Linked DNA regions of Ovis aries. The protein of the gene in region 1 interacts with the protein of each later gene in a pairwise test. Links are inferred from orthologs where the notes say so. Each region holds a gene or a part of one and is shown in the gene's direction. Other genes may lie near its edges. The genes, in order: CREB3, UNC50, CDS2, NKG7, CGRRF1, cytochrome b-245 chaperone 1 and TSPAN4.

What was found.
Region 2: the proteins of CREB3 (region 1) and UNC50 interact in a two-hybrid assay, tested with the Homo sapiens proteins (2 studies listed by BioGRID and IntAct). The two-hybrid records come from large-scale screens. The link is inferred for Ovis aries from reciprocal best matches to the Homo sapiens genes CREB3 and UNC50.
Region 3: the proteins of CREB3 (region 1) and CDS2 interact in a two-hybrid assay, tested with the Homo sapiens proteins (2 studies listed by BioGRID and IntAct). The two-hybrid records come from large-scale screens. The link is inferred for Ovis aries from reciprocal best matches to the Homo sapiens genes CREB3 and CDS2.
Region 4: the proteins of CREB3 (region 1) and NKG7 interact in a two-hybrid assay, tested with the Homo sapiens proteins (2 studies listed by BioGRID and IntAct). The two-hybrid records come from large-scale screens. The link is inferred for Ovis aries from reciprocal best matches to the Homo sapiens genes CREB3 and NKG7.
Region 5: the proteins of CREB3 (region 1) and CGRRF1 interact in a two-hybrid assay, tested with the Homo sapiens proteins (2 studies listed by BioGRID and IntAct). The two-hybrid records come from large-scale screens. The link is inferred for Ovis aries from reciprocal best matches to the Homo sapiens genes CREB3 and CGRRF1.
Region 6: the proteins of CREB3 (region 1) and cytochrome b-245 chaperone 1 interact in a two-hybrid assay, tested with the Homo sapiens proteins (2 studies listed by BioGRID and IntAct). The two-hybrid records come from large-scale screens. The link is inferred for Ovis aries from reciprocal best matches to the Homo sapiens genes CREB3 and CYBC1.
Region 7: the proteins of CREB3 (region 1) and TSPAN4 interact in a two-hybrid assay, tested with the Homo sapiens proteins (2 studies listed by BioGRID and IntAct). The two-hybrid records come from large-scale screens. The link is inferred for Ovis aries from reciprocal best matches to the Homo sapiens genes CREB3 and TSPAN4.

What each region holds. Positions count from the first base shown.
Region 1 is NC_056055.1:52,808,226-52,812,453, reverse strand, and holds the start of CREB3 (cyclic AMP-responsive element-binding protein 3), read left to right. Parts: upstream 1-1,226; 5' UTR 1,227-1,372; coding exon 1,373-1,510; intron 1,511-1,625; coding exon 1,626-1,773; intron 1,774-1,848; coding exon 1,849-1,916; intron 1,917-2,027; coding exon 2,028-2,117; intron 2,118-3,588; coding exon 3,589-3,695; intron 3,696-3,803; coding exon 3,804-3,872; intron 3,873-4,228. UniProt on the Homo sapiens protein: Endoplasmic reticulum (ER)-bound sequence-specific transcription factor that directly binds DNA and activates transcription. Plays a role in the unfolded protein response (UPR), promoting cell survival versus ER stress-induced apoptotic cell death.
Region 2 is NC_056056.1:102,628,157-102,631,610, reverse strand, and holds the end of UNC50 (protein unc-50 homolog), read left to right. Parts: intron 1-692; coding exon 693-832; intron 833-920; coding exon 921-1,022; intron 1,023-2,391; coding exon 2,392-2,528; 3' UTR 2,529-2,727; downstream 2,728-3,454. UniProt on the Homo sapiens protein: Involved in the cell surface expression of neuronal nicotinic receptors. Binds RNA.
Region 3 is NC_056066.1:47,098,183-47,101,929, forward strand, and holds part of CDS2 (phosphatidate cytidylyltransferase 2), read left to right. Parts: intron 1-182; coding exon 183-302; intron 303-736; coding exon 737-840; intron 841-1,083; coding exon 1,084-1,216; 3' UTR 1,217-3,747. UniProt on the Homo sapiens protein: Catalyzes the conversion of phosphatidic acid (PA) to CDP-diacylglycerol (CDP-DAG), an essential intermediate in the synthesis of phosphatidylglycerol, cardiolipin and phosphatidylinositol.
Region 4 is NC_056067.1:57,519,802-57,523,404, reverse strand, and holds NKG7 (protein NKG7), read left to right. Parts: upstream 1-1,235; 5' UTR 1,236-1,466; coding exon 1,467-1,623; intron 1,624-1,700; coding exon 1,701-1,847; intron 1,848-1,947; coding exon 1,948-2,082; intron 2,083-2,248; coding exon 2,249-2,307; 3' UTR 2,308-2,915; downstream 2,916-3,603.
Region 5 is NC_056060.1:65,103,769-65,108,000, forward strand, and holds the start of CGRRF1 (cell growth regulator with RING finger domain protein 1), read left to right. Parts: upstream 1-1,408; 5' UTR 1,409-1,492; coding exon 1,493-1,596; intron 1,597-4,232. UniProt on the Homo sapiens protein: Able to inhibit growth in several cell lines.
Region 6 is NC_056064.1:49,807,989-49,812,523, forward strand, and holds the start of cytochrome b-245 chaperone 1, read left to right. Parts: upstream 1-1,701; 5' UTR 1,702-2,509; intron 2,510-2,803; 5' UTR 2,804-2,847; coding exon 2,848-2,932; intron 2,933-3,728; coding exon 3,729-3,770; intron 3,771-4,535. UniProt on the Homo sapiens protein: Functions as a chaperone necessary for a stable expression of the CYBA and CYBB subunits of the cytochrome b-245 heterodimer. Controls the phagocyte respiratory burst and is essential for innate immunity.
Region 7 is NC_056074.1:46,913,034-46,917,232, reverse strand, and holds the start of TSPAN4 (tetraspanin-4), read left to right. Parts: upstream 1-1,191; 5' UTR 1,192-1,253; intron 1,254-2,332; exon of another isoform or gene 2,333-3,344; intron 3,345-4,094; exon of another isoform or gene 4,095-4,199. Other genes in the region: POLR2L (DNA-directed RNA polymerases I, II, and III subunit RPABC5), read right to left, coding at 787-881. UniProt on the Homo sapiens protein: Structural component of specialized membrane microdomains known as tetraspanin-enriched microdomains (TERMs), which act as platforms for receptor clustering and signaling.

The sequences.
Region 1 (4,228 bases):
TCCCTAATTTTGATCTAATTTTTACCTGTAGCATCAACTCTGGACCTTTAACCCTGAATCTTCATCCCTAAACCTAAAGTTCATTTGTCACTTGATTCCTGATTCACCCCTTTCTTGTTTATCCCCTGTACTGGCTATGCTAACCTTCTCTAATCCCTAAATCTGGACTTCTAACTTAGTTTCTGTTGTTGACCCTTAACCTGAACTCTAATGTTGGTCGTTATAGAAAACAAAATAATGCCCTTAATCCAAACCTCACCTACACAAAACGCACCTCACACTAATAAATCTAAATTTTAACCCCAGCTGCACACTCCTAAAGCTAACCTTAACTCCTAAAACCCAACTCCACCTAATCTCCAACTCACCCATTCCTGCTCACGTACCCGCTATCAGCTAACCTCAAAGCCGATCCCCGCCCTGCGTCACACTGCCACCCACTCCTCACCCTCCCTCTAAACTATCCTAGGCCGAGGACTGCTCCAGGAAGGGCCTGGCTGCCGAAAAACTGCCTATTTAACTCAGAGCACAAGCAGAGATACACCGGACGCGAACCTCTCCAAGATGACCCGAAACAGACGCAGAAGTCAGGGGCCCTGCCCGCCCGCCTCCCAGGCCTGGTGTCGCGGCCCCACCCTGAGGCCCCAGTTCGCCCGGTCCGGCCTACCTGCGCTGCCCGGCTCTGTGCCCCGCCCGCCGGCCCGCTAACCCGCTCGTTCTCCCGGTGGCTCTCGGGCTGCGGCCTCGCCCTCCCTTCGACACTCTCGGCCACTTCCGTCCCGGGAACGTCCCCCACCCGCGGGCGGCGCCCTGGGCCCGCGCTCTATGGTCGCGGGCACTGCAGGAAGCTGCTCTGGCCCCAGCTCTCGATGCTCGGGAGCCCGCTGACGACCGGCAGCCCCTCCCCAGCCGGAAGCGAGGGTGCGGTGCAGTCCCGAGGAAGCGCCAGAACTGCGCCCTAGTTCCCTTTTAGGCTGTAATCCTTCCTTTTTCTAGCCCGGGGCGGAGCCGCTTCCTCAGAATGCCCGCCCTCAGGGACTGCGGAGGCGGAAGGCACGTCCCCTCTATTTGCATCGCGCCCTGGACGTGGCGCGTACAGCGGCAGCCTCCGCGTCGGGGTGGGGTGGGGGACTCCAACTCCCGGCATGCCTCGCGGGTAGGTGCGTCACTTGTGTTCTGTTGGAAGTCTAGCGGGGAGTGGAGTCTGGAAGGCGTGTCCCGGTTTCAGAGCCTTCGCCAGCAGCTAGGAGGAAAACGCCGCTGAAGAGCCGATAGGTGGGGCCGACTGACAGTCCGTCGCGGTTACGCCTGGTTGGGGATAGGGTCCGGGTGGCGAGGTGAACTCCTGTGTTTCTGCGCATCTTTTCCATAAATGTCTCATATGGAGCTGGCGTTGGACCCGGGTGACCGTGACCTGCTAGGCTTTCTGCTAGAGGAAAGCGGTGGTTTGGGTGCGGCGCCCGACGAGGCCTTGGCGTCTCCGCCGGATTGGGAGCTGCCACTTTCTGAGGCGAGTGGGGGGCTCTGAGTCGGGGAGGCGTGAGGCGGGTTTGTGGGCGGGGTAGGGGTGTCCCTGAGGCAGGGGGTGGTGATGGTCAAAGCCTGTCAATTTGAACCCTGTGCAGTCTCTGAGCGATTGGGACGTGGAGGATTTCCTGAGCTGCCTGCCGAGTCCCCCATCATCGTTGAACGTTTTCAGCAGCTCTAACTCCTGTCTTGTCCAGCATGACCACACCTATTCTCTCTCACAAGAGCATGTCTCCATAGATCTAGGTAAGCCTGAAATAAGTGAAGTTTGGGAAAGGAGAGGACTCCGAGGCCTGACTACTCATATTTTCCCTTTTGCAGATAATGAGAGCTATGGAAAAGAGGGGACTCAGATGACTCCACTGTGTGTGGAGGAGCCGGCAGATCAGGTACTTGACTTATAGGAGGGTTATTTCCGTATTGCGCGGGTCGGGGCAGTATTCCGCGTTACTTTCTGAAATCCCTTTGCAACTCTGCTGCCCATCTCTCCGGAACCGCAGGAGATTGCTAGGCTGATACTGACTGAGGAGGAGAAAAGGCTGTTGGAGAAGGAGGGGCTTACTTTGCCTGGGATGCTTCCACTCACTAAGGTAAGTCTCCCATCGCGGGGACGGGGGTTGTGAGTTCCAAGTAGGCCAGTTCTGTTAATTTTGTATCAGTAACTTGAAAAAGAATTGAGGTGAGAGATTAGCACATTTTTGAGTAGGAAGCTGGGGCATGTGGTTAGTATACTGCTTGCAAGGACAGATCCTGGTTTGTAGTGCTTTTATAAATTTTGGTGTTCTTTTTAACTAAGAATTCAAAATTATCAGGGTAATATTAGTAAAGGGATTTGGAAAGTACTGTACAAGCGCGGGGCTCTGATACTTATATTTCACTGGTTTCATGCAATTTACTTGTAGCTGAATAGTAAATCAAGTATTAGAGTAGTATAACAAGTAGTATAACAATTAAGTAGTATAACAAGAGTAAATGTGAAATTTGGAGTTTCAAGCAATGAGAGGCAGTTTCACATGCACAGTATTGTGATACTATGATGAAATCAATGTCTGTTAACAGAAAGGTTAACAATTTTAATTTCTCAAAAATATAAGTTGAGGCAATCCCCTGGCAATCCAGTGGTTAGGACTCTGTGCTTTCACTGCTCAGGGTCAGGGTGCAATCCTGGTCTGCACCAGGGTGCAATCCCCTGGTCTGGGAACTGAGATTCCACAAGTGCGAGGTGTGGCCAAAAAAAAGTACAAGTTGAGTCAACAGTGTGATATGGCTACTAAGGAAGAGAATGGGGTTTAGAAGCTGTATCATCAGATTTAGTTGTTGTTGTTTGGTCGCTAAGTCGTGTCCAACTCTTTGTAATTCCATGGACTATGGCCCCCAAACTCCTCTGTCCATGGGATTTCCCAGACAAGAATACTGGAGTACGTTGCAATTTCCTTCTCCAGGGGATCATCCCAACCCAGGGATGGAACCTGTGTTTCCTGAGTCGCCTGCATTGTAGGCAGATTCTTTACTGCTGAGGCACTGGGGAAGCCCAGTTGTATCATCAGATACCAGTTATCTAATAGTGTTGCCACTAGAAGGGCAGTAACTATCTTGTTTTCTTTTACATTGGCCAAAAAGCTTCTTAAGTTTTGAGCCTATTATCTTTGACAGATATTAAGAAGATGCAGTCCATCCTGAGAAGAGATAAGATGATGAGTTAAAATTTTTGCCCAGTTTTTTTTTTTTTTTTTAACTCTGAAGAAATGCCAAGTGCTTTAAAATAGCTGAAGACCTTTGTTCTATTATGGCCCCAGAGATTAGGTGCTAGGTAAGTCCAACAGGTAGAAATAACAAAGGCAGATGTTGGCTCATAAGGAAGGTTTTAAAAAAAAATTATCTAACAAAATTGTTACAATGGTTTGGCTTGTGAGGACAGAAGCATTCAGACAGAAGCAGAGTGCCTATTGGTCAGGGAAATTGTAGAAGGAATCTCTGCTTTGAGAAGATTGAACTCGGTTGCCTTCAAACTCTTTGGTCTAATGTTCCTCTGATGGGATCCCTTTTCCTGTCTTCTCCCAGATGGAGGAACAAGTCCTGAAACGAGTGCGGAGGAAGATTCGAAACAAAAAGTCTGCTCAAGAGAGCCGTAGGAAGAAGAAGGTGTATGTGGGGGGTTTAGAAAGCAGGTATGAAAGGGAGCTGGACTCGGGGGTGGGAGAAACAGGTAATTGGAAGTGTGAGGTTTTTGAAGGGAGGATACAGGCCATGTCCCCACATCCCTGTTATTCCTCCAGGGTCCTGAAATACACAGCCCAGAATCTGGAGCTACAGAACAAAGTACAGCTCCTGGAGGAACAGAATCTGTAAGCAGCTCTTTCACATCAGGGTTTGCTCATCCCTCCCGCTTACTACTGTCTCAGTCTTTCTCCTGCTCCATATTTGATTTGTCACCGGGCATCTCTCACATATGTCTGATGCTTGGTCTTTAGTGGGTCTCTGATTCCATGAAGCTCACAGTAATGGGGAATAAATTCACAAGTATAAGTATCAAGGAGGAAGAGAGGGAGTAAGACCTCATGTGGCAGATGGCATTTGATAGAAGATATGATTCTGGGATGGGGGTGGGGAGCATTCTAGGCAGAGAGGACACAGCCTAGTCCAGTCTGGCTGGAACCCTAAAATATGTGAGTTGGGCCAGAAGATAGAGAATATAATCCCT
Region 2 (3,454 bases), on another chromosome or scaffold:
TCTGGCACCCACTGTGTCGTACGCTACTCTGGCTGTTCGGGCCTCCCAGCTGTAGTTGCCCCCAGGCCAGGGCCCCCGCTGCCGCCAGCCTCTCGTCTCCTCCTCGCAGTGACCTCCCCCTCCTGCCTCTTCGCTTCCATTCTTGTCCCAAGGGTCTGTTCTCAGACCGCAGCCAGAGGAACCCCGTCAAAACAGTAAGCCAAACGTCCTTTTGGGAACTCCACAGTGACTTCTTATTCCACCAAGAGTAAAAGCCAAACGTCTGCAGTGGCCACAGGGTCTATAAGATGCTCCCTTTTCTTCTCCCATTTCATTCCCTGCTATCTTCTCACCAGTTGCAGGCACTCTGAGCCCCTCCCCCACCCGTGCTCAAGACTCCTCCTGCTCGGAGGGCTCTGCCCCAGGGGTTCCCATCGCTGCCCCTGGTTCTTTGCCCAGATGTCACTCTCGGGACTCTCGTCGTGGCTGACATGTCACCTTTGCAGCCCCTGCCCTGCTGTCCTGCTCAGTTTTTTCCTAGGGCCGTCTGACTGTATTGTTGTCAGTCCACTTCCACTAGATTGAAGGCAGACGTTTGCTTACCACCATCTCTCCAGTGTATGGAATAATGCTTGAGCTATAGAAGACAGCCAGTAAATACGCATGGGGTTAATTTTATTGTATTATGAAAGAAATGCTATAATTTTTTTCAGGTTTATCTCCAATAAGTATTTAGTGAAACGGCAGAGCAGAGACTATGATGTGGAGTGGGGCTATGCCTTTGATGTGCATCTGAATGCTTTTTATCCTCTCTTGGTCATTCTGCATTTTATACAGCTTTTTTTCATCAACCGTAAGTAGCAGTTTCTTCTAAACTTGTCATCAGAAAGTCTTCATTGTATCCACTGAAAAAAGATTCATTGTCCATGTCTCTTCGGCAGATGTCATCCTAACAGACACATTTATTGGATATTTAGTTGGAAATACCTTATGGTTGGTTGCCGTTGGCTACTATATCTATGTAACTTTCTTAGGATACAGTGGTAAGTAATTGATTTTTCTCCTTGACAACACTACAGGGAGGGGAGAAGTTTTAACGGTGATACACTGAGCTTTTATGGAGCTGGTACTGTCGCTGGTGTTTTACATAAATTCTTCCAGTTAATCTTTAGTTATATGATACAGGTTTACTATTCCCCATTTTTCAAATGAGGAGACAAGCCCAGAGAGATTAAGTAATTTATCCATGGTCCCATAGCTCCAAAGTGGCATAGCTGGTACATAACAAACTTTATAATTTCAAGGAACCATGTTAAACCATCTGATGCTCTCCAGGTTTCTTGCAGGAACCCATGACGAGTTTTCTTTTCTCCCAGGTTTTTGGGTTCTGGGTTTCCAGCAGTCAGTCAGATGAGGAAAGGGTTGGGTCCAGTGTATGGGCATGTTTAAAACCTTTACCGTATTTTCTGTTTGGGGGACGATTGTGAAATACTCTTCATTTTGTAAACATCTGTGTTGGTCCCAGGCCACCTGCTGGACTGGAGAAGCCTAGGGGTGGGAGATACTGGGGATAATCACAGAAGATCAAGCCCAGCTTCTGCTGCACTCAGGATATGTTTATAAATTCATTACTCAATCCTGCTATCGGTTCGTCTTTCATAGTATGAATGAGAACCATGTTTATTTTTCTTCATGTAAAGAAATGACTGCTGTTAAGAGTTAAATTTAGAGATCTTATGATTTGTTAGTGTTATGTGTTGTAGCTCTTTCCTTTATTGTCCCTCTAGATGATTAGAATCTTACTGTAAACCTAGGTCACTTGGACTCACATGTGACTGATTCCACTGGTCAGAGAGTCCCCTTGACTTTGTCAGGAACCACTTGCCCCCCCCCCCCCACCTCCAAATTGTAACACCTTGTTTTGGGCATTGGGGAGGTCCTGTCTCTCGTTCGGGGGAGATGGAAGTGGATTTTGGAGCACTGTCCTGGTAACTCACTACAATTTAGAAGATTCTTTGGGCACAGCTCAGTTTCAGTTTGGGGACTACTTGTATGAGAAATACTTAGATTTGAATGCATGGGGTATAGACCCACTATCAGGAAGCCGCAAGTGAGAAAGAAGGAAACACAGATATCTGGGGGTGGGTTTTATATTTGAGAGCTTCATTTCTTTCCTAAAGTCTGGGATTACTAGTTGAGAGCTCACTTTCTCCAAGTGGAGGTGTAACACTCCCTCGGTTGGGAAATCTCAAACGGCTGAAAGCTGTTTTTCTCCTGTAACGTCACCCATGTCTGCTGGTACATTAAGATGGGAAGCTTCTGAAGCATCACAGGTTTCAATTCACCACTTGATCCATGAATAACTGGCGATACTGACTCTCACCCTTAACCTGAATCCTGGCCCTTTTCCAGCACTGCCATTTTTGAAAAACACGGTGATCCTTCTCTACCCGTTTGCACCTCTCATCCTGCTCTACGGACTCTCACTAGCCCTGGGCTGGAACTTCACCCACACGCTCTGCTCCTTCTACAAGTACAGAGTGAAGTGAGCCAGGGGGCCCCTTACATCTGAGCAGCAGCAACAGTATCGGTGAGGTGGTGATTTCCTGTGAAACCTGTAAATAAACTATCATTGTAGATATCTTAAAGGTACAAAGTTTGCAAATTTGAAGAACTATAAATGTTAATAGTACATTCCTTAAAACTGATTAAATGTACATTTCTACAATAAATATTTTTTAAACTAAAGTGTTACCTTTTATTCATAAATATTTGCACACAGAATGATATACAAAGTACTAAGGCTATAAAGAAAATACAAAGGTGAAACTTTTTAACATTATTTTTGAAGGCGTATCCACATAGTCATATGTGTGCCATCCCCTCCCCAGCTGTTACTGACAAGGTACAGAGTCACCCCCATTTCTAACAGGCTGCATTTTAAACTTTTATATAAGCCACAGGGTCCTAATTTAAGCTTTAAAAGTCTCCTTAGGAATCACTGAACTACAGGCTGTAAATGTCACTAATAGCCATTGTTTATGCAAAAAAAAAAAAAAAATACCCAACTGAAGACTCCCCCAGAAGCTCTTCTTACTCTGGGAGCTGCATAGCACACTTAAGGTGGGAGTGAACCTCTGTGTAACACTGATAGTCATGGTCTTAACGAAGGCTTTTTTTTTTTCTTTAAAGACTTTCCAAAACACACAAATCTACTATTGTTTTCTAACAGGAAATAGTCCCGGTAAGCTATTATATATCAGTGTTAAAATTATAATAATAAAAAAGCTTGGTACTCATGAAGTTTTACCTGTTTTTTATTAGGAGTCTTGAATTCAACATGGCTTTTTAAACTTCTTTATTTCAAATACACATGAACGGCTGTGGCACAGAGAAACAGTGATGAAGGCACAGTCAACGGGACCAGTTATCAGGTTTTCAGTTTTAGCAGCAAATTAGAAAATAAATAATCTGC
Region 3 (3,747 bases), on another chromosome or scaffold:
TTAAGCAGTATATTAGAGATTTAGCAGAAAGAGAACTCCTAAACCAGTCTTTTTTTCTAATTTTGGGGGGAGATATAGTTTCATAAAGATGTGGTTTTTTGTCTTTTTTTTTTTTTTTAATGGTAACAAGTAATAAGCCTGGGCTTGCAGGCATCTGAACTGATTTCATTTGTTCTTTTCAGAAAACAGTGCGGATGTACCCCTTCCAGATTCACAGCATTGCCCTCTCTACTTTTGCCTCGCTCATCGGCCCCTTCGGAGGGTTCTTCGCTAGTGGATTCAAACGAGCCTTTAAGATCAAAGTAGGAAAACCCTTTTTGTTCCTCTCATTGTCTCCCAGCCAGGCCCCTTTTCACCGTCTCTGCCTTCCTCCTCCTGTCTCACCTCATCAACTACCACCCCCTTCAGAATACCAGACTGTGAACCCTGACTGTTAATATGTACTCTTCACCCATGCATGGAATTTAAGTAGGATAAAGGAAGATACCTTGTTTCTAAGAAAATTCTGTGGTTGGATTTCAGTTTTATGATAATTTTTTATGTTAATCTTTCTTCAAAAGAGATGTTTTATAATTTAATAGGATTGTATACTATAGCTTCAGCACCTGAATCAATACTTTTCACTTTCTGTTGCCCTCAGCTGTAGAGTACAGTAGGTGGACACTGAGGTGTGACCATAGACAAGGCTTTGACTTGGATGAAGCCAGGCTCACCAATCCTTTCCTTCCTCTAACAGGACTTTGCCAATACCATTCCTGGCCATGGAGGCATCATGGATCGCTTTGACTGCCAGTATCTGATGGCCACCTTTGTCAATGTGTATATTGCTAGTTTTATCAGGTATAGTACCTTTCTGTCTGAACCAAGTTGGCGGATTTTAGAATTTCATCTACTTCTCAGTTTGAGTGAAAAAATCCCAAATATGAATGAAGTTTTCAGTTGCTATTAGTTATGGATTCTCTGAGGTCCCCTCCTACCCTCCATTAGTAGAGGATCCAGGAAGGGAACAGCCACTAAAATAATCAGGCCCTTGAAGTGCTTGGCTCCTGCTTTGCTCAGTGTTGTTTGTTCATCCTCTTGCAGGGGCCCAAACCCAAGTAAGCTGGTTCAGCAGTTCCTGACCTTGAGGCCAGATCAGCAACTCCATATCTTCAACACGCTCAAGTCTCACCTGACCGACAAGGGGATGCTGACAGCTGCCACAGAGGACAAGTAGGGGCCACCCAGGGCCAGGAGAGCCGAAACAGGGCTGAGTGAGGGGCAGGGCTCCCAGGCAAGCCTAGCTGGACAAAGACAAGCTTCAACTCACTTTTTTTTTTTTTTAAACCAGTGTTTCTATTTGTGGATTGAAAAAAAAAATCTACAGTGTATACAGTCCATATGCTTATGATTTGGGTTGTGAGTAACCTATAGCTTTGAGTTGGAAAGAAGTCAATTTTTGTTTTTAAAACCAAAGCTTTTAACATTCTGGAAGACAGTGTTGCCCAGCTCTGGAGTGCCTGCTTGGTGCTTCTAGCTCCTAAGCTGGAGCTTCCATTTCTGGGCCTGATCAGAGTGGACACTCATTCATCTGTGTTTGTCTAGTTTAGGCCCCCCACCACCGACTGTCTTTGTAGCTGACCCCCAGCAGGGAAGAGTTACACAGCTTGGATGTCTTTACTACTGGAGTGCTTTTCCTGGGCTTCTCAATAATCCCTGCCTTGGAGCTACAGGAGGGTTGCCTTCTGAGGGAAGAAGGATGAAGGCTTATTAATCAGATAGGCATTCTGTTCATGAAATCCTGTGGACTGTGAGCTTTGCTTTTTGATATGGATTCACCTCACTTCATCACAGACTGAAGAAGGTTTCAGTTTTAATTTTTTTCAAAAGGCATGAAAAATTATAATAGTCTGGAAAAAAGCCACACTGTTCTATTTCAAGTGTATGCAGTAGGATGCTGTAACTAGGTCTTTTCCCACAGGGTTTAGGCTCAAGTGGCTCCTATAGGGCAGTTGGCTAACTGGGTCTTTTCAGGGATGATGCTATTCACATTTGTGCTATAGACTTGTTGCTGCTGAATCCTTTCTGGGGGCTTCCTCATTAGGCAGGGAGCAGAGGGCTTCTTGTTCACACACCCATGCCCTTGACCTGGCTGACCACCCATGTAGCTGCTGTGTTGTATATATTAATATATATATATATATATATATTACTCTTAAGGCAAGTGTATATCTGTGTGTGTGCTTTAAAAATCACTTATTTCTTACAGTGATTTCAATTACCATGACTTCTTCACTGAAACCACAAAGTCCTGCTTACAACTCTGCATAACCCAACCCAGAGGTTTGAAGCTTCTGAAGATTAAATGCACACTTGTATAATATGACCAGTTTAAATGTAGTTTGTATTTTACAGCGGGACCTTTTTCTTTTTAAATTGTGATTTATTTATTTTTTTCTTTTAATTAGAAGAGTGAGGTTGACTTTTGGAATATACATTCTTTGTCAGGATAATAAGCAAGGGGGTAGAGGGGAGAGAGATTGGTGCCCAAATGTGTTTCATTATTCTGTGCCATGGTGGTTCTCATTGCCAAACGGGGGTATAACAGCTTGTTTCAGCACCTTGGGCTGGTGCTGCTTTTCTTTCTTTGTGTTTATCTCAACCTTACTGTATCTGTGGACGCTCGCAGCCAGCCCAAATCACTGAGGTGTCCAGCACAGGCCAGACCCCTTTTGATGTCTGTGTTCACAGTCACTGTGTGACCGTCTACGTGCAGTAGCTTCTTTCTTCTGAACTTTTATTTCTGTTTCAGTAAATGGCTTTTCTAAGTCTAAGGCCCCCTTAAAAACAGAATGTGTGTTCAGTGCTGGCCATGTGGCACTGGGCAGGACACATCACTGTGGGTTCTCGTTTTCTGAGCTGTCTTCTAGTTCTCATATTCCATGATTCTGGCTGAGCAAGTATACGTACTTGCAGAGGCTGCTTGCAGGTGTTGAGTCATGTCCTGGGCACGCAAAAATTAAGTGCTTACACGCCTTTTCTAAATACTTTTCCTTAAAATGCTTGTCCTCAGCAATAAATCTTAGAGTGGAGCAATGAATCTAGTTTTCTGAATGAAGAATGAACTTGGTTCCCCAAACCAAAGATAGAATGGCACTTCATTTGTCTCATGGTGTCCCCCTGTGGGCAGATAGGTGGGTCCTTGGGGACAGGAAATCTCAGCTGGGACCTGGCAGCAGAGAGCCACCTTTGGGATCAGGGAGCCTGGCACATACCTGTGGACATGGCTGCTGATGAGGGTTCCAGGAAATGGCAGCTGGAAGCTCAACAGAGCTGCCATCCAGAGAGCCTGAGGGTCAGCTAGGGTTTTGTTTCCTTCTGGTTTCCCACATGCTTTCTGGTGAAATAGGGGAATTTCGTAGGAAGTAGCCAGGAGACAGACACCACCTTGTGTCTATATAGCACACTGATTTTCTTTCTCCCGTTTATTGAAAATCTTTCACTGAACAGACAAGCTTCCAGAGACTGTTGTAACACACAGCTGTGCACATCTTAATGAGTGGCATAACTTGCTCTAGATCCATTTTTTTGTGTGTGTGAGAAATAAAATGTGACAAATTGTATGCCCTCTCTTGTCATGAATTCAGTTTCTTCCCTGTATGGTTTTATGTTTCCCACTTGATTTTGTGCAGCCCTTATTTAGAGATTTTTGTTTTGTTTTCCAATTTGAATTCAATGCATTCTCACAATAGCTTTCTGTGTTATCTC
Region 4 (3,603 bases), on another chromosome or scaffold:
TTAGTGAGGCCAAAAGAGAAAATAGGAGAGAGGTGGTGGGGAGAAAAAGGAAAAACAGAAGATCACAGATGGGTTCCGAGCATGTGATCATCACATGCCCTCAGCCCAGACTTCCTGAAGCCTGTCCAGCTGCTCCTCACAGGAGCCGGGTCCATCACCGCTTTCGAGATGGTGCCCCAGCTGTCCATGACCAGGATCTCCTTCCAGGAGCCTGTCCTCCCAAGCGTGTTCTCAGGAGTGACCAGTTGCCCAGGTGGTGAGGATCTAGATGGGGGGCAAACTCTGCAAACTGGAGTCTCCAGCCAAGGAAGAGGACCGGCCTCCTGCAGCCACTCTTGTTCTCCCCTTCGCCGGCTGTCCTGGGACTGTCGGCTCAGTTCCTCTTTGGGACAGCAGTCCTGTTCCAGGTCACTCCTGCTTCACAGAGATAGGGTTAGGGTCTGCGCCTCCCCGCTGGGCCGTGACACCTTCCCCTTGTGCCTGAGGTGGGGCCCAGAGCCTGACGCTGGTTGAGGTGAGGAGAGCCGGAAAGTCTTGCCCTGACATCCTTTACCCATCCCCCCTCTCCCCCTGACCACAGAAACCCCGATCCCGGCGATGAAGCCCACCAGGCTGAACGCCTTACCCTCGGCCGAGCTGTTTGTGAACTCATTTGTACCAGGATGTGGGCACGTCTTCCCCTCTGCAAACTTTCAGAACTGTGGTCACTATCTACCTTCCCCCCGGCACAAGCTCCAAGCAAGGAGCCAGGAGTCTGAGTTCAGCACCTGGAGTCTAGGCTTCTAGCACCTTCCTCATGCAGCGCCCAGCATCCTTGCCAACTGCCCCCTCTCTTTTTTCAGAGACCCTAGAATTAGGGGCCCCCACCTCCCAGAACGGAAAATTGCAGAATTACAGGAAAGCATGATGCATTCCCCCACTGTCTCCCTCTAGTCACACCTCCCCTCCCATCTAACTCACACCCCAGCCTCACTCACCGCATGCCCCCTCTGCTCACTCCTCTACCCACCTCCCATCTCTTTCTCTCACCTTTTCCAGGAAGCCCCTCTGGTGCGGAGGCCCCCAAGGGCAGCATATAGAGAGGCTTCTGTGGAGACAGACAAGTTCCAAACCAGTGACAATGTGACATCTTCAGGGCCAACCCCCGCCGCCACCGTCCAGGGTGAGGGAAACCTCAGAGAGGGGCGGGGTTGGGGGGACGGGTGTCGATGCAAGCCAGGAAGGCAGGGTGTGTCACACAGAGCAGCTGCCCTGGACAGGCTGAGACCAAACGGGCCTGACGTTGAGGAGCAAAGACCACCCCCCAGCCGCCCCTAGCGCTTGCTGGTTTCTCTTTCTTGAGACCAGAGGACCCAGGAATCTGGGGCGGAGGGGGAACAGACTTCCTCCTCTTTCAGAGACCCAGGAGGCTAGATCACCAGCCTCGTCCTTGCCACCCAGGACCCAGGAACCCAGACTTCACCCCCATGGAGCCCTGCCGGTCCCTGGCCCTCCTCACCAGCTCCCTGGGCCTGGTGTCCCTCTTAGTGGCTCTGAGCACGAATTTCTGGTTTGCAGCCCAGGGGCCCAAGTCTTCATCTCACTCAGGCCTCTGGCCCAGCAAGGATCAAGTCTCAGTAGCAGGTAAGGGCTGGGGGTGTGGTCTTGGTGCTGGGAAAAGCCTGCGGGGACGGGCAGTCAGAGGTCCCATTTCCGAGCAGGCTACATCCATGTGACGCAGAGCTTCTGCATCCTGGCCGTCCTGTGGGGCCTGATCTCCACGGCCTTTCTGGTCATGTCTTGCATCCCTTCGCTGTCTGCCCCCGGACGCGGCCCCATTGTCTCCACCTTCATGGCCTTTGCTGGAGGTGAGGACTCCGTGCTGGGCTTGGGGGCGGGGAGGAGGGGTGCTGAGGAGGGGGAGCTGCTGCAGGGGGGCTGACCCGACCCTCATGTCTCCATCCCCAGCCCTGTCCCTGATAGTGGCTATGACGGTCTACACCATTGAGCGGTGGAACCAGCCAGGAAACCCCCAGGTCCAGAGCTTCTTCGCATGGTCCTTCTACCTGGGCTGGGTTTCAACACTCCTCTTTCTCTGTACAGGTGATTGTGATTGCTGCCTGGGGAGTTCTGGGGCTGGCTTGAGGGGCTGGCTGGGGCTGGGGTGGGGGCTGGCTGGGGGAGGGGCTGGCTGGGAGGGTTGGGGCTGGCTGGGGGCTCTGAGGGAGCAGGAGAGGAGCAAGTATCTAACTTTTCTCTGCTACCCCAGGTGGCCTGAGTCTGGGTGCTCACTGCACGACCCACCGGCCTGGCTACGAGGCCATGTGAACCGCAGGATGGCCTTAGAGCTCTGTTCTCTGAAGGCATCATCAGGAATCCTGAAAGCAACAGCTGGCTCTCCTTCCAGCCAGCCTGCCCTGACTCTCAGCCTCCACAAGCTTCTTCCTTTGTAGCTTCATTCATTCAACAAAAATTTGCCGGGATCTGGTTATTCAAAGGGTCATGCAGCTACGACATAAACTGATGACATGCCAGCTCCATGGTGGGTGACGCTGGGCACCCAGAGGGGAGTCAGTCCTGCCACCCGCCCTGCCCTTCGGGAGCTCCTACCCAGTGTGGGGACCAGTCTAGGCTCAGACATGGCCTTAGGGTCCTTGTTGTCTCTCTTCTTTGTCCTTCCATCTCTTTTCTTCCCTGTGTCTTTTTTTTTTTTTTCCTTTTTGACTGCATGGCATGCAAACTTCCGGGACCAGGGATTGAACCTGCTCCCCCTGGAGCGGAAGCACAGAGTCTTAACCCCTGGGCCAACAGGGAGGTCTTCCTTGTACCTTCCTCCTTTTAGTTCTTGTCTTTTGGCTCCCTCTCTGATTTAGTCACCCTGGCGTTCATCCTTAGTCCTTGTTCATTTCATTAATAAATTCACTCCTTCGGCTGGCTTTTCCTGAGCGCATCCTTTCTGCTGGGCCTTCCACCGTAGATGCCGAGGTGACTCAGACTGGGCCCTGCCTGCCAGGGGCTCCAAGTCCCACAGGGGCAGGCAGAGCCCAGGGCTGGTATTGCAGGAGGACTGGCTGTGTCTGGGGGAGAGGTGGGATGTGGGGGTGAGCTTTCTGGGGAGAATGTGTTTAGGAACTTCTCCAGGGATGAGGAAAGGTAATGCAGGCAGAGGGACCCCAAAGTGGAGGCATGGAGAGGCTGGGAGTTCTCACAAGATGGGGAACAGCACTTTGTGGTCCACTGTCGAATGTGAGAGGGTGACAGGAAATGAGGATGGGTGAGAAGTAGCACCTCTAACCCCACAATTGACTCTCTTGAGGGTGATAGGGAGCTAAGGGTGGAGCAGGGGAGGGACAGCATCTGGTTTGGGTGCCAGAAAGCCCCCCACTCTGCACCCTCTGGAGGCCAGAAGGGGAGAGAAAAAAGACTGCAATCCAACAGGAGGGACACGAGACATTACAAGGTTGCACTGGGGCCAGGGCATGAGAAGGAAAGGAGGAGCCAGAAAGATTCAGGGCGGGGGGAGGGACTTCCCTGGTGGAGAAGTGGACAGGAATCCGCCTGCCAGTATAGGGGACACAGGTTCGATCCCTGGTCCAGGAAGATTCTACGTGCCTTGGAGCAACT
Region 5 (4,232 bases), on another chromosome or scaffold:
ATAGTCAATAAGGCAGAAGTAGATGCTTTTCTGGAACTCTCTTGCTTTTTTGATGATCCAGCAGATGTTGGCAATTTGATCTCTGGTTCCTCTGCCTTTTCTAAATCCAGCTTGAATATCTGGAAGTTCATGGTTCATGTATTGTTGAAGCCTGGCTTGGAGAGTTTTGAGCATGTGAGATGAATGCAATTGTGTGGTAGTAAGCATTCTTTGGCATCGCCTTTTTTGGGGATTGGAATGAAAATGGATCTTTTCTAGTCCTGTGGCCACTGCTGAGTTTTCCAAATTTTCTGGCATATTGATTGCAGCACTTGCACAGCATCATCTTTCAGGATTTGAAACAGCTCAACTGGAATTCCGTCACCTCCACTAGCTTTGTTCGTAGTGATGCTTCCTAAGGCCCACTTGACTTCGCATTCCAGGATGTCTAGCTCTAGGTGAGTGATCACACCATCATGATTATCTGGGTCGTGAAGATCTTTTTTGTATAGTTTTTCAGTGTATTTTTGTCTCCTTCTCTTAATATCTTCTGCTTCCATTAGGTCCATACTATTTCTCTCCTTTATTGAGCCCATCTTTGCATGAAATGTTCCTTTGGTATCTCTAATTTTCTTGAAGAGATCTCTAGTATATATGTGTGTATATCACATATGCACACATATTTTAAATTATTATTAAAGTGAAAATACAAAAATTCAAATATTTAATTTTTTTCAAGTATCTAATTCTAATTTGAGGGGTAGAGGGGGACGAAGAAAAGAAGAAAGGCATATGGGAAAACAGTTGATTTATTTCTCAGAATCTTGACACCCAATGCTAACTTGCCTCTAGCATTAAATCCAACTTGAAAAGGCTGACAAGGCGCCTAAAAAGTGCTTGGGGGCCTCTTTGGTGTTTTCTACAGTGCCTATTTGTTAAGTTTTGTGAACAGAAAACAAGATTTGGTGTGGGGTTATTTTACTTTGTAGAATTTAAAATGCCGGTTCTCCTCTTCCTGCCACATCTCTCAGATGTAATAGGCAGGATCTCAGGATTTACGCTCTGTGACGTGGATTTCGGGCTGAGTCTTCTCTCTGGCATCAAAACACCCTACCTGAGTCTTGGACGGAGTCCGCACCAATATCTCTTCCGACTTTGCCGCAGAAAACCGTGGACCGCTAGGACAAACAGCCAAAGAATACGCCCGCGGGATATCAAACCCGGGAGCCGGGGGCGGGGCGAGCCTGGGCCCCGCCCCTCGGCGAAGCCGGTAACTCGGCACAGGAGCGGGAGGGGCGGGGCGAGCCCTGCAGGCGACCCCGTGATTGGCACGCAGGCTCCCGCTCACGGCGAGGCTACCCCTACCTCTAGCCTGCAGGAGTGCTAGGCTAGTGCGGATCTACAAAGTTTGTCCGCTCCGGGGCACCGTAGTGGCTTTTACGCTGGCGGAGAGGGCCCGGCTGAGCTAGGCTGGGCTGGCCGGCAGGAGCCCGGCTCAGCTTAGGAGATCCTGATGGCTGCGGTGTTTCTCGTAACGCTCTATGAGTACTCGCCTCTTTTTTACATCGCGGTGGTCTTTACCTGCTTCATCGTGACCACCGGCCTGGTGTTGGGATGGTAAGAGTCCCCAGGGCTATGGGCAAGTGGCGTCGGGGCGGACAGCCGGGGAGATGAGTAGCAGCGGGCTTCAGGGTGACTGCTGGACTGGGGCTGTCGGAGAGCCAGTGCTCAGGGCTCCCACTGGCTCAGGAGGAAAACAAGGTGGACATCTACCCGCATCACTGCCCTGCATCATCGTCCGATCCCCGTCGCTGCGGGTATCTGGGGATGGTGCAGGATTGAGGTATTTTACCCAGCTTTTTTCTAGGTGATAAAGTAGCCAGTAAGGGCTTGGTCTTGGTGTGAGGATAGAGAGGCTGTCCAACAGGCTTCTGTCCGGATTTGGGGCCTACTGTGTGCCCGGAGTGAGCCCGTCATCTGCGGTACAGTCCTCAGACGTGGATAGTAGACCCAGTTGTTCGTTGCTCTTCTGACGTGAACTGAGCACTTGCCGTGAGATCTTCCAGCGTAACTTACAACTGAACTCTGAACCGTTTGAGAATGTATTGATTTCTACACACATTCCACACCTTTTGAACGGTGAAACTATAAAGACATAATTTTAGAGCTGGAAGAGACCTCAGAGATAAGTTACACTAAGGCATAAGGGCACTTCTCTTATTGGAGACTAGGAGAGTAGACTGTTAGCTCATCCGTGAGCCATTCTAGCTCAGAGATTCTAAAATTTCTCTCTCGAAGAGATGCCATTGTATCATGTTTAGAGTCGTCTTATACTATAGCTAGCTGAAACCATCTTACAGGTCCATCCTTTGAAGAGAGAGACATGAGCTGGATTTTGAAGAGTGAGTATTTTGAAAAAGAACTGGAGCTAAATGTGTATAGTAGAGAACAGAAGGCATTTTAGAGATTACATGAACAGAGGGTCAGAGGAGACATGCTAGTGAATAGAGCAGGCTGTGTAATATGAGTTTCAAAATACCCTTTGAGCATGTATATGTGATTACTTTGGGCTTCCCAGGTGGCTCAGTGGTAAAGAATCCACCTGCCAATGCAGGAAATGCAGGAGATGTGGGAGATCCCCTGGAGGAAGAAATGGCAACCCACACCAGTATTCTTGCCTGGAAACTCCCATGGACAGAGGAGTCTGGGGGGCTACAGTCTGTGAGGTTACAAAGAGTCGGATACCACTGAGCAACCGATCATGCACATGTGATTACTTTAAAGAAAGAACACAAGCTCTTGTCAATTTCTGAAAATATGCCATCTTTAGGAACTAAGTAAAGTTTTTAACATTTTCACACTGCTTTCCACGTTGTCAGCAGTAGATTATAAAATTCTTTCTTGGTTGGTGGGGGAAGAATAGGACCAATTTTACACAATCTGATATTCTTGACACATCAGAATTTCTTGCTGTTGTTCATTTCAAGAAAGTTTGTAATTGGAGTTAGGAAGATGTTGTCTAAGTGAGAAGAGATGTCTAAACACAAGATTTTTATTGGCTAAACTGTTAGTGTCTTCAAGAGTATAATTTTCCTCCATTAAGGAAAATAAGTAACCAGTTGATAATTGCATAATATCCTTAAATTTTAATTTTTAATCAGCCTAATAATTTTAAAATTAATTTTCAGTTGGCCTGATTCAACTAATTAGAGATTGTAGATATCTGTCTTTAGTTATGGGAGGAGGAAAACTAGTAAAGACCTATTGATAGTGATGGTGGTGTCTGTAAGTGAAGGGTAGTTCAGAACCTCATGCAGGGGTGGTAAAGAGACAGACTTTGGAGTCAGACAGGTTCAAATCCTGGCTTTGCCAAATTTGAGACTTGGTTTGAAAAGTTAATGATTATCCAAACACTCCATTTAAGTATGACTTTTCCCTGGTGGCTCAGAGGTTAAAGCGTCTGCTTGCAATGCAGGAGACCCAGGTTCAATCCCTGGGTCAGGAAGATCCCCTGGAGAAGGAAATGGTAACCCACTCCAGCATTCTTGCCTGGATAATCCCATGGACGGAGGAGCCCGGTAGGCTACAGTCCGCAGGGTCGCAAAGAGTCAGACATGACTGAGCGACTTCACTTTCACTTTCTTTACAAGGATGGAGGCCCGGATAGTTGTAGAACTTTGAGAAGTCTGAATTAAGCATGGCTGAGGCCACAAAACTATATAGTGCCAGTCACTTCCATCCTGATTTGGCCCTAACCAGTCATCTTAAGCTTAATCCAGCTATTCTCTCCATATGGGTTAGCTTTGCCCATGTAGATAACCTTATTATTATTATTTTAAACTAGCGTTTACAGTGAAGGCCATCTAGAGCTCCTCAAAGTAATTTTCTAATAGTACCCCCAGGCAGAAGGCAAATGCATTAATCCACTATGCTTTTTCACTGTGCTTGTCATTTTCTTTAAGCTCCCCCAATATAATTTCTGTTGGGCATCTGTCTTCTCTGTCATGGTTCTTACCTCAGTACTGCTTTGCAAAACCCATTGCTTAGTTCCTTTCCCTGTCTTTCACACTGTGTGGGAGTAGAGAAAGAATGGAAGCACCTGACTGTTGGAATCCCAGTGGCAAAGAATAATACAACTGAAAGTATTGAATTTCTGTTTAACTACATGATGGTTTCTGTGAGCTCTAATACTCAGATTTATCAAGCTCTAGCTATTTTGCCAGGCAGTGTGCAGAAAGGAGGCCGGAGTGCTA
Region 6 (4,535 bases), on another chromosome or scaffold:
ATGCAGTCTGAATTTAAAACAAAGATGTAATGTATTGATAACTGGAAAAAAATGTACAGATTTTATTCACTCAGTCCCCTATTTGTGTATTTTGTATTTATTTCCAGTCTTTTGCTCTTACCTATATTCAGCAGGATTTTAATCAAATCAGCCATCATTTGTTCTCTCATTTAACATTAATAGAAAGCCAGTGTAGGCTTCATTTTTAAATGGCTTGTACTCTGGTATAAAAGGTTAAATTATGTCAAGGACTGTAATGCAAAGTGGAATTTTCTGGGTATCAATTCAGTTCTCCCTAAATTCTAAGGAATTAAGATCACAAGCAGAGAGGACTTAAAGGAGGTGCTAAGCAATTCAAATAGACCTTCAAGATGGCGGTAATCTTACCACAGAAGGCATTTCAAGGAAATAGAATGTGGGCTGAGGCATCAGGTCAGGGAACCTGCCACATTCTTGCAGAACCTACTTTTGTTACAGCTCTGAGCTTAAGTTCTCTGGGTGTGGTTCTCAGAGCAGCAGGCACCAGCATGAGTACATTTCAAGCCCCATCCATTGCTGGAACAGGTCCAGTGGTCTGTGTTTCAGTAGCCCCACCAGGTGATTCTGAACCACAGGCAGAGTACATAGAGACTGGTGAAATAGAAAAGTCATCCCCCAATTTTTGACATTGTGCCTATATTGGTAAAACATCTAGGGTTATGCATACCCATGTGTGTATATTTCTTTATACACTGTGTATAAGTCTTATGTAAATTATAGGACACATGAGAATAGACATAAAAAGATAAGTAGGAATACAAGCTCTAGTATGTTCTTCCAGCACTCTATAGATCATCTTGACCGTCCCAGTTTGGAGGCCACTGATGCAGTGGCTGTGCGGTAGAGGCTCTCCTGTTTCAGGTAATCCTCTAGTGGGAAATAGGCAAATCAGGGTCCTACTTGGGGCCTCATCTGGGGGCCCTGGCGGTACATTATGAGTGTTTTGCTGGAGAGTGGAGCAGGGAGGCCACCTAAGCGGCCATTTCAAGGTATTCCTGGAGAATATGATCTCTTACTACAGTCCTCCTTCCCCTACAATGGGGCAAGTTTAGGAGGAGCAGAAAAACTGCCCTCACGAAAATGTGAATTTCCCAGCTACACTGAGTTTTTTTGGGGGGGTCAAGGATCTCTAGTTCTCTCCTACCCTCCTCCACAGTGCCTTGCAGCGCTGTGCCGATTTTTCAACCTGTTGATACTCTTACTAGGTTCGCAATTCAATCTACAGAGCAAGTTGGGAGAATTCACATTTGTACTATAATTTTCCAAACCACGAACAACTATTTTAGTTCTATTTTAATGCTTCCCATTAAAGTTTTTACAGAACCTACCATAATGTTTGTATGTATCTGTTGTGAGCTTAAATATATACTTCACGTTTCCTTACCATCTTAAATGGCTGTCCCGTGCTTACAACTTCACCTGCCTCCGCTGATCTTCTAAAGACTGCAACCCCAGGCGCTCTGTGCTGAGTGCCGGGGTGCGCAAAACCCATGACAGCCTCCGCAATCTCTACTGATTGGTAGTCAACCTCATTCTAGAGCCCCGCCAGCCCTCTTCTCTCGAGGGCTAAATGGAAGCCCCGGAAGTCAGGACCCGCGCGCCTCGCCCCGCCCCCGAGTCTGGAAGTCTACTGTCCCATCCGCCCCCGCGGGTCCGGAAGTCAGTTGGTCCCGCCCCCAGCTCCGGAAGTTGGAGGCCGGCGCGTTTTGAAGTCCTGCCGGTCCCGCCCGTCCCGCCTCCGCGCCTGCAGGTTTGTGTCTGCGGTGAGCGCCCGGGCTGTGCCACGGTTGCGGGTTGGGGGGCGCGGGGTGTGCTGAGGGGCGGCTCCCGCAGCCGAGGTCCTTCCGGGAGCGCGGTCTTGTGACCCGGCCCGGGTCGATGCCCCGGGGGCCTGGCAGCGCTCGAGGCTAGAAGGGTGCACAGTGTGGCCGCAAGGGTCAGTGGAGAGTGTCCTAAGCGGCTCGTGCAGGTGACAGGAGTGATCTCGCCCCGCGGGCGGCCGAGTCGCGTGTGGAAACAGGCGAAGCGTGTCAAAGGGAGGGAGCCGGGGATATCGCAGGATCTTGGCTTCGTTTGTGTGAACTGAATCCACTCTTTGTTGTCAGAAATTTGACAACTTTACAGAGAACACCTGAAAAGCTACCCAAAACGGGGCCCCTGGAGCCAGCATTTTGAACGTATTGCAGGGCAGAATTCTCCACTTGTGGAAGATCAGTCCCCTTTGCTGACTCGTTCATTAAGCTGGTGCTCCTGGCCGTCCAAACCCTCCGCTGGGTGCGGACTGTTGTCTCCGCAGCTGCAGGAACTGACTTTTCGATCAGTGCCTCTCATCAAACCATGACGAGACTTTCAGTTCTCTTTTTCATAGGCCTGTACAGGGAAATGAGGGTGTTCTGGTACGTTCTGATAGGGTGCCAGAAGTTTGGAGGCTGCTGGGGGCTAACGGTTTCCAAGAGACTGAGGTTTCCAGGTAAGAAGTGGACAGGTGATGATCAAATGTTGAAGCTTTGTGAGCCAGAGCAGGGGACATAGCCCCAGTGCAACCACTATATCTGCGCAAAGAACCTTCCTTACAGAGGACATGGGTCCCTAGGGGGTTGACTTGCCTGACCACAGGACAGCAGTCAGCACAGGCTGAGTGGTTTCTGAACCTGTGTGGACCTTGTCAGTGGGCAGCTGGGCATCCTGTCCTGGAGAGCAGCTGGGTTCTTGTCTGTTAGCAGCGGCCCAAGGGCTCCAGCTGTCTCTTTGTGTCCTTCCCTAGGCGCCCTGGTCTCTTGTTGAAGGTGGTGGCAGCACGTTCCAGGGATGTATATGCAGGTGGAGACACGCACCAGCTCCCGCCTCCATCTGAAGAGGGCTCCAGGCATCAGATCCTGGTCCCTGCTGGTTGGTAAGGATGTTCATATTTCTCAAGTTAAAAATCCAACTTTACAAAAGGATGAAGATTAAACTAAAATTTTCCTTGGTTCTACTACCCCAGGAAATAGCAACTATTATGTCTTTCCAGCTTTTATCCTTTTCGAGTGCTTTTACAGAGGGTCAGTCTTGTGTTTTTTCACCATTTAACATCCTTTGGTTAATAGTCTCCATGCTCCTGTGAGGTCCCTGTATTTCCTTTTTTGTTTGCTTTCATAAGGTTAGGGCCTGTGTGATGGAGACAGTAAGGAGTAAGGGTGGGGAGGCCCCTGGTCCTGTACCCTGTCAATCCCCATTGCCCTGCACTCCCTGGGCAGCTGCACATGTTAATTGGAACTGAGGTGTGAGGGGAGGTGCTGCTGCACCTTCGGCAGCCTGGCTCTGGGCCTTCTTTCCCGGGACTCTTCCTGTTTCGTCTCGTGCGGGGTTGTGATTCTTCACCTGCAGTCTTGTCTTCATTCCACACCATGTGCTGTCAGTGGATGAGACCCACATCAGGTTCCTCTTTCTGGTTCCCCTGTCAGCTCTGGAACCTCAGCGTAGACATGTGACCAGTGAATACTGTGACTGAGGTAGAACATTCTTGTAAACAGACTTCCTGGTTGTTTCCACAATTTCTGAGCCTGGCGGTTTTCTTGCCCCCCTGCTCCCTGCTCTTAGCCATCCCTGGCAGCAGGGGGGGCTGCTTACCTGGGTCTGCGGGTCATGGGAGGAGGTGGTCTCTGGGCTAGTGGTGGCCCAATGGAAAGGGACTGGTTTTCTCCCCACAGGAATCTTGTCGATCGGCCTGGCTGCTGCCTACTACAGTGGAGGTGAGGAATGGCATCTGCCCTGCCCCGCCCCATCCCTAGGAGCTTCCTTAGCTGATTGGAAAATAAGAGAAAAAAAGGAAACCCTGTCATTTGTAATCTGATAGGCATGATTTGGGGGATTGTCCCTGCCTCTAAATGGGGCTTCCCTGGTTGCTCAGATGGTAAAGAATCTGCCTGCAGTGTGGGAGACCTGGTTTCTATCCCTGGGTTGGGAATAGCCCCTGGAGAAGGGAATGGCTACCCACTTCTGCCTAGGAAATCCCATGGACAGAGGAGGCTGGCAGGTTACAGTCCATGGGGTCATAAGGAGTTGGACTTTCTTCCTCTAAATGGTTTGCAGGCGTGGTCTCACCTTCATGCGCTTGTGTGCCCCCCACAGCTTGCATTCATTTACATCAGCATTTTCATGTCATAAAATATGCAGAAAGGCACTCTCATGTCTGCCTCAGGTCTTGTGGCAGGAATAGTCTATGCTTTCAGCAGCTCCCTGGAAGTAGTCCCCCATCTCTGCTCTCACACACGGTGCCATGATCGTAATCTCGAGGAGTCACCCACGTGGAGAGCTGAAGGCAGAGCTGGTGGACCACATCCTGCCCTGTGTGACAGGGCCCACAGTGCTGGATGGCCTTGGCAGGGGTGGGGTGTCCTTGGAGGCATGGGCAGTCAGCTGGGCCCTCAGGGGCCACTCCTGCCCAGAGTCTGGGAAGCAGCTGTTCTGGGAGGAGGCACCCCCTGTAGGCATGTTGACTTTTGCCCCCCTGCTAC
Region 7 (4,199 bases), on another chromosome or scaffold:
GACTGCAGCTCGCTGAGCTCATGTTCTCCTCTATCTCCCAGAGTTTGCTTGAACTCCTGTCCATTGAGCTGCTGATGCTACCTAACCGCGTCCTCCTCTGCCGCTCCTTTCTCCTTTCGCCTTCCATCTTGCCCAGCATCAGTGTCTTTGAGGACACGGGGTGGGCCTAATAGCAGGGAGAACTTAGGGAGCTGACGGACAGAGGTGGCCAGGGGCCTATCTGCGGTGGAGGCGTGGAGCCAGAATACTCGAGTCCCCAGACACCAGCGCTTGACAACTAGCTCCCCTCGTCTGCCTGAACTGGGGGGTGGGAGACGCTTTCCTGAGAGCAGGTCTGGAGAACAGGGCTGGCAAAGGCTCCGGGAATAAAAGCCTTGCCGGCGTCACCTGGGATCTGATGAACGTCCCTTGCTCCTGACCTGGAGACCAAGACCCCTGACTGCCGCCTCAAGACCCCAACCCCTCAAGCCTGGATCCTCGACAGCCGCCCGAGACGCCGACGCCGCAGGCTAGGCCCCCTTGACCCTGCCCCGGGCCCCGCAGGCCGGGGCCCCCGTGTCCTCGCTCCGAGCCCCGCAGGCTGGGAAACCCTCCCCTTAGGCCGGGCGCCCCTGTCCTCGCCCCGGGCCCCGCAGGCCGGGCCCCCGTCCCGCCGCCCCGGGCCCCGCAGGCTGGGAAACCCTCCCCTTAGGCCGGGCGCCCCTGTCCTCGCCCCGGGCCGCGCAGGCTGGGAAACCCTCCCCGCCCCGGGCCCCGCAGGCCGGCGGCCGGGAGCGCGCCCCTCACCCCTCGGTGTACTCGGCCTGCAGCAGGCCCAGGTAGGCCTCCCACTTGTTGCCGACGATCTTGCCACACGTGAAGCAGCGAACGGGGATGATCATGGCGGCGGCGCGGGAGCTAGAAGCTTCGCGGCCCGGCGGCCCGACGCCCGGATCCCCCGGCGCTTCCGCCCCGGCGTGCCCATGGCGCGCCCATGGCGCGGGGGTGCCGGCCCGGCCCGCCCCGTGCACCTCCCCGCGGCCCCGGCGCCGCCGGCATCCGCCTCCCGCCGCGACGGCGGCTCCTCCGGCGGGCGCGGGCCCGGGGGCCGGGGCCCGGGGGCCGGGGCCGGGGGCGGGGCCCGGCGGGAGCCCCCCGCCCGCGCCTTGGTACGTCCCGGCCTACGGCGTCCGCGCGGGGCCGCAAGGGCTCGGCGGCGGCGTTCGCGTTCCTCGTGCCCGGCCGACCGACTCCGCGCGGCGGGCGCGAGGCAGGTACAGCGCCCCTGCCGGGCCGCGGGCGGAGTGCGGCCGGGCCCGCGCGAACTGGGGCCCCGAGCGCAGAGCGCGAGCCGCGTTTCAGCAACAAGTTGCGAGCCGGGTCTGGGGCGCGGAGAGCGGCCGGAGGGGCCGGGCAGGGGGCGGCCTCTCCGCCTGGGGCCGCTGCCCGCGGGCACTCGGGGGTCTCTGCGCAGAGTCCGAGGGACCCTCGAGGTCGCCGCCTGGCCGGGTCGCCTGCACAGTAACGGTCCCGGCCCGGTAGCTGCCCGTATCCCTGCAGGCGGGCGGCGCGGGGCGACCCAGCCGGTGGGGGCTCCGGCCGTCGCCGCGGTCAGCTTGGCCCCCCCTCCTGCCTTCTTCCCGGGGGAGGCGCTGGCGGCCCAGGCTCCAGTCCGCGCTCGGCAGGGGCGGGCGCCAGTGACCCGGGAGCGCCGGCTCTGAGGGTCGGGAGGGCACTCGGGGTGTCTTTTGAGCTGAGACTTAAAGAGGGAGCCGGACAGACACCCGTCCGTGCGGGACAGAAGCTGTGGGAGCTGGAGGCGGTGGGGGTTTAAAGGGAGCGGGGGGGGGGCGGGGGCGGGGGCTGTGTCTCGGGAAGTGGCGAGAGGTGAGCCCCCTGATCCTGTGACTGGCGGCTGGGAGAGGGCTGTGTGCACTGAGAAGCAAGGAAGGCTCCCTGGAGGAGGCGAGCTTTGGGCTGAGGAGGGTGGGCTAGGCACCTAGGCAGGGTCTCCTCATATTTGCTGGCCTGGGGCGTCAGGGTCTCTGGTTGGGGTGGGGGGTGGGGGTGGGCCCACCATGTTGGGTCCCAGGCTTTAGCTCAGAGTCCACCTGGGGTGGGTGGTGGACTCTGACTGTAAGTCAAGGGGCTGGGAGTGGAGGTCCCAGGGAGGCTGGCCAGCACTTCTGCGTCTGGAGTTTGGCTCTGGCCACCCTCCCCAGCGGGGTTCGCCGTCCCCCACCCTGCCACGTGCGGAGCCACGAGCAGAAGCCACTTCCCTGCCCTGCCTGCCCCCCCTTCCCAAGCTGACTGGACGCACATCCTGTCCCCGGCTGGGATGGGGCCTTGAGTCACAGTGGCCTGGGGTGGACCCAGGCTCAGCTGTAGAGGCAGCTGCGTCTGCAGAGGTGAGGGGGATAGGCGGGAGGCTCTTCTAGAGCGGGGGTGGGTGCGTGCAGGCTTCCTGGGGGAGGGCCCCGTGGTCCACCGCACCTCGTTCTGGCGCAGTGGCTGTTTACTCCCAGAGACTGGGGGGCGGCGGGAGAGCCAAGTGGACATTCCTGGAATTCCGAGAACTGCGTGTGGATTGAGGCGGGGGGGACTCCTCCCTGCAGCTCCCTGGTTTCCCAGGAGGGGATTGCTGAGCAGCGTGGTGGCACAGGCCACCAGCACACGTGTGCTCAGAGGCCCCTTGGGCACTTGGCCTCCGTGCCCACCCCACCCTGGCTCAGGCCTGGCCAGGCTGGACCTGAGGACCCTGGGGGGCCTCACGTCAGCCTTCTCCCCCGCTGGGCCTTCTCCCTCCCTGTGGGTGCTGAGGGGGCAGGCTGGGCATAGTCCAGCTGTCCTCAGGGTGGGCAGGGGCAGAGAGCATCCCAGGGGCCTGGTGCACTCATGGGGGCGCCGGGGTGGCACAGGCCCGTGGTGGGGGCCCTGGGGATGAGCGCAGATGTGGCCCAGACCTCGGGCTTGGCCTGGAGATGGGCAGGGAGAGTGAGGCGCTGGGTTTCCGAGGAGGGGGTTCCTGCCCCCAGGGGCGGGGGCACAGGGCGGGAGGGTGGTGCTCACGTGGTCTGGAACCCGTGCGCCCTACTTCCTGCCAGAGGAGGGTCACTTCAGGGCAGGCGGGGGACAAGGGGAAATCCACGATCAAAGCTTCAGCCGCTGAGACCCTGTGCCCCGGGTGTTGTCCTGGAAACGCCTCCTGAGAGACGGAGCTGCCCAGGAGGCAGCTGACCCTGCGCCCCGTCTTGGACCACAGCGTCTGCCTCCCCTTCTGTGGGTGGGGGGGGGGGCGGAGGCCACGCAGGTGGAGGGGCAGGATCCCAGCGCAGCCCCGAGCGCCCAAGCTCTGGCCGCTCTGGGTAAGCTGTGCTCACACGTGGGGGGCGGTGTGGTGAGCAGGGGGCGTGGATGCCTCGTCAGGGTTTGACGGAGTCGCCCACCTGCTGCACCCTCGGTGACCCTCTGGGCCCTGGGGTCCCTGGCGGTGTTTGCCGGCCAGCTGTGCAACCTCGTGACCCTGTGGATGGGCATGGTCCTTGAGGATGGCCCGCTCGGCCGTGCGTGGGGCTCCCAGAGGGCACTGGTGTGTAGGGGGCAGGCTGGAGTGTCAGTGCCCAGGTGGGGAAGGGAGCTGCCAGGCCCCAGGGTGGCGGGAGGGTCCTGAGGGGAGCCCCTGTCCTCGGGGTTGTCCTCACTGGGCCTGGGGAAGCGCTGGAGGCCTCTGGGTGGCCTCTTCCCGGGGGCACCTCTCCTGGAGGCAGTGTCTTCCAGGCCAGCGGGAGGAGGGCCTGTGGGCCCGGGTGCTTGTGCGCCCCTCCCCCGGGGTCGGGGGCTGAAGCAGCAGCAGGAAGGCCGGCTCCGCAGGCCTGTTTGTGTTGGCGGGGCCTCCTGGCTCCTCGCAGTCGCCTCAGAGCTGGCAACCTGGGGGCCCGGGCTGGGCGGCCGGCTCTGCACCCTGAGGTGCGGGCACGCTCACTGGCTCTGCTGGGGCCCCGCTCACTGGCTCTGCTGGGGCCCGTCTGCCGCAGGCCTCCGAGGCCGCCGGGCCAGCACTGTCAGTGTTTGGGGAGGTCCTTCTCTGAGCTCGGCCTCGGTCTGGCCAGGTAGGTGCCCACGCTCCCCCGAGCTTCCTCCTGCCCCTGCCCTGGGCCCCAGAGGGTCCCAGAGGCCCAGCCTGGGGCTGGCAGGGCTGGGCGAGGGCTTCTTGCTCTGCC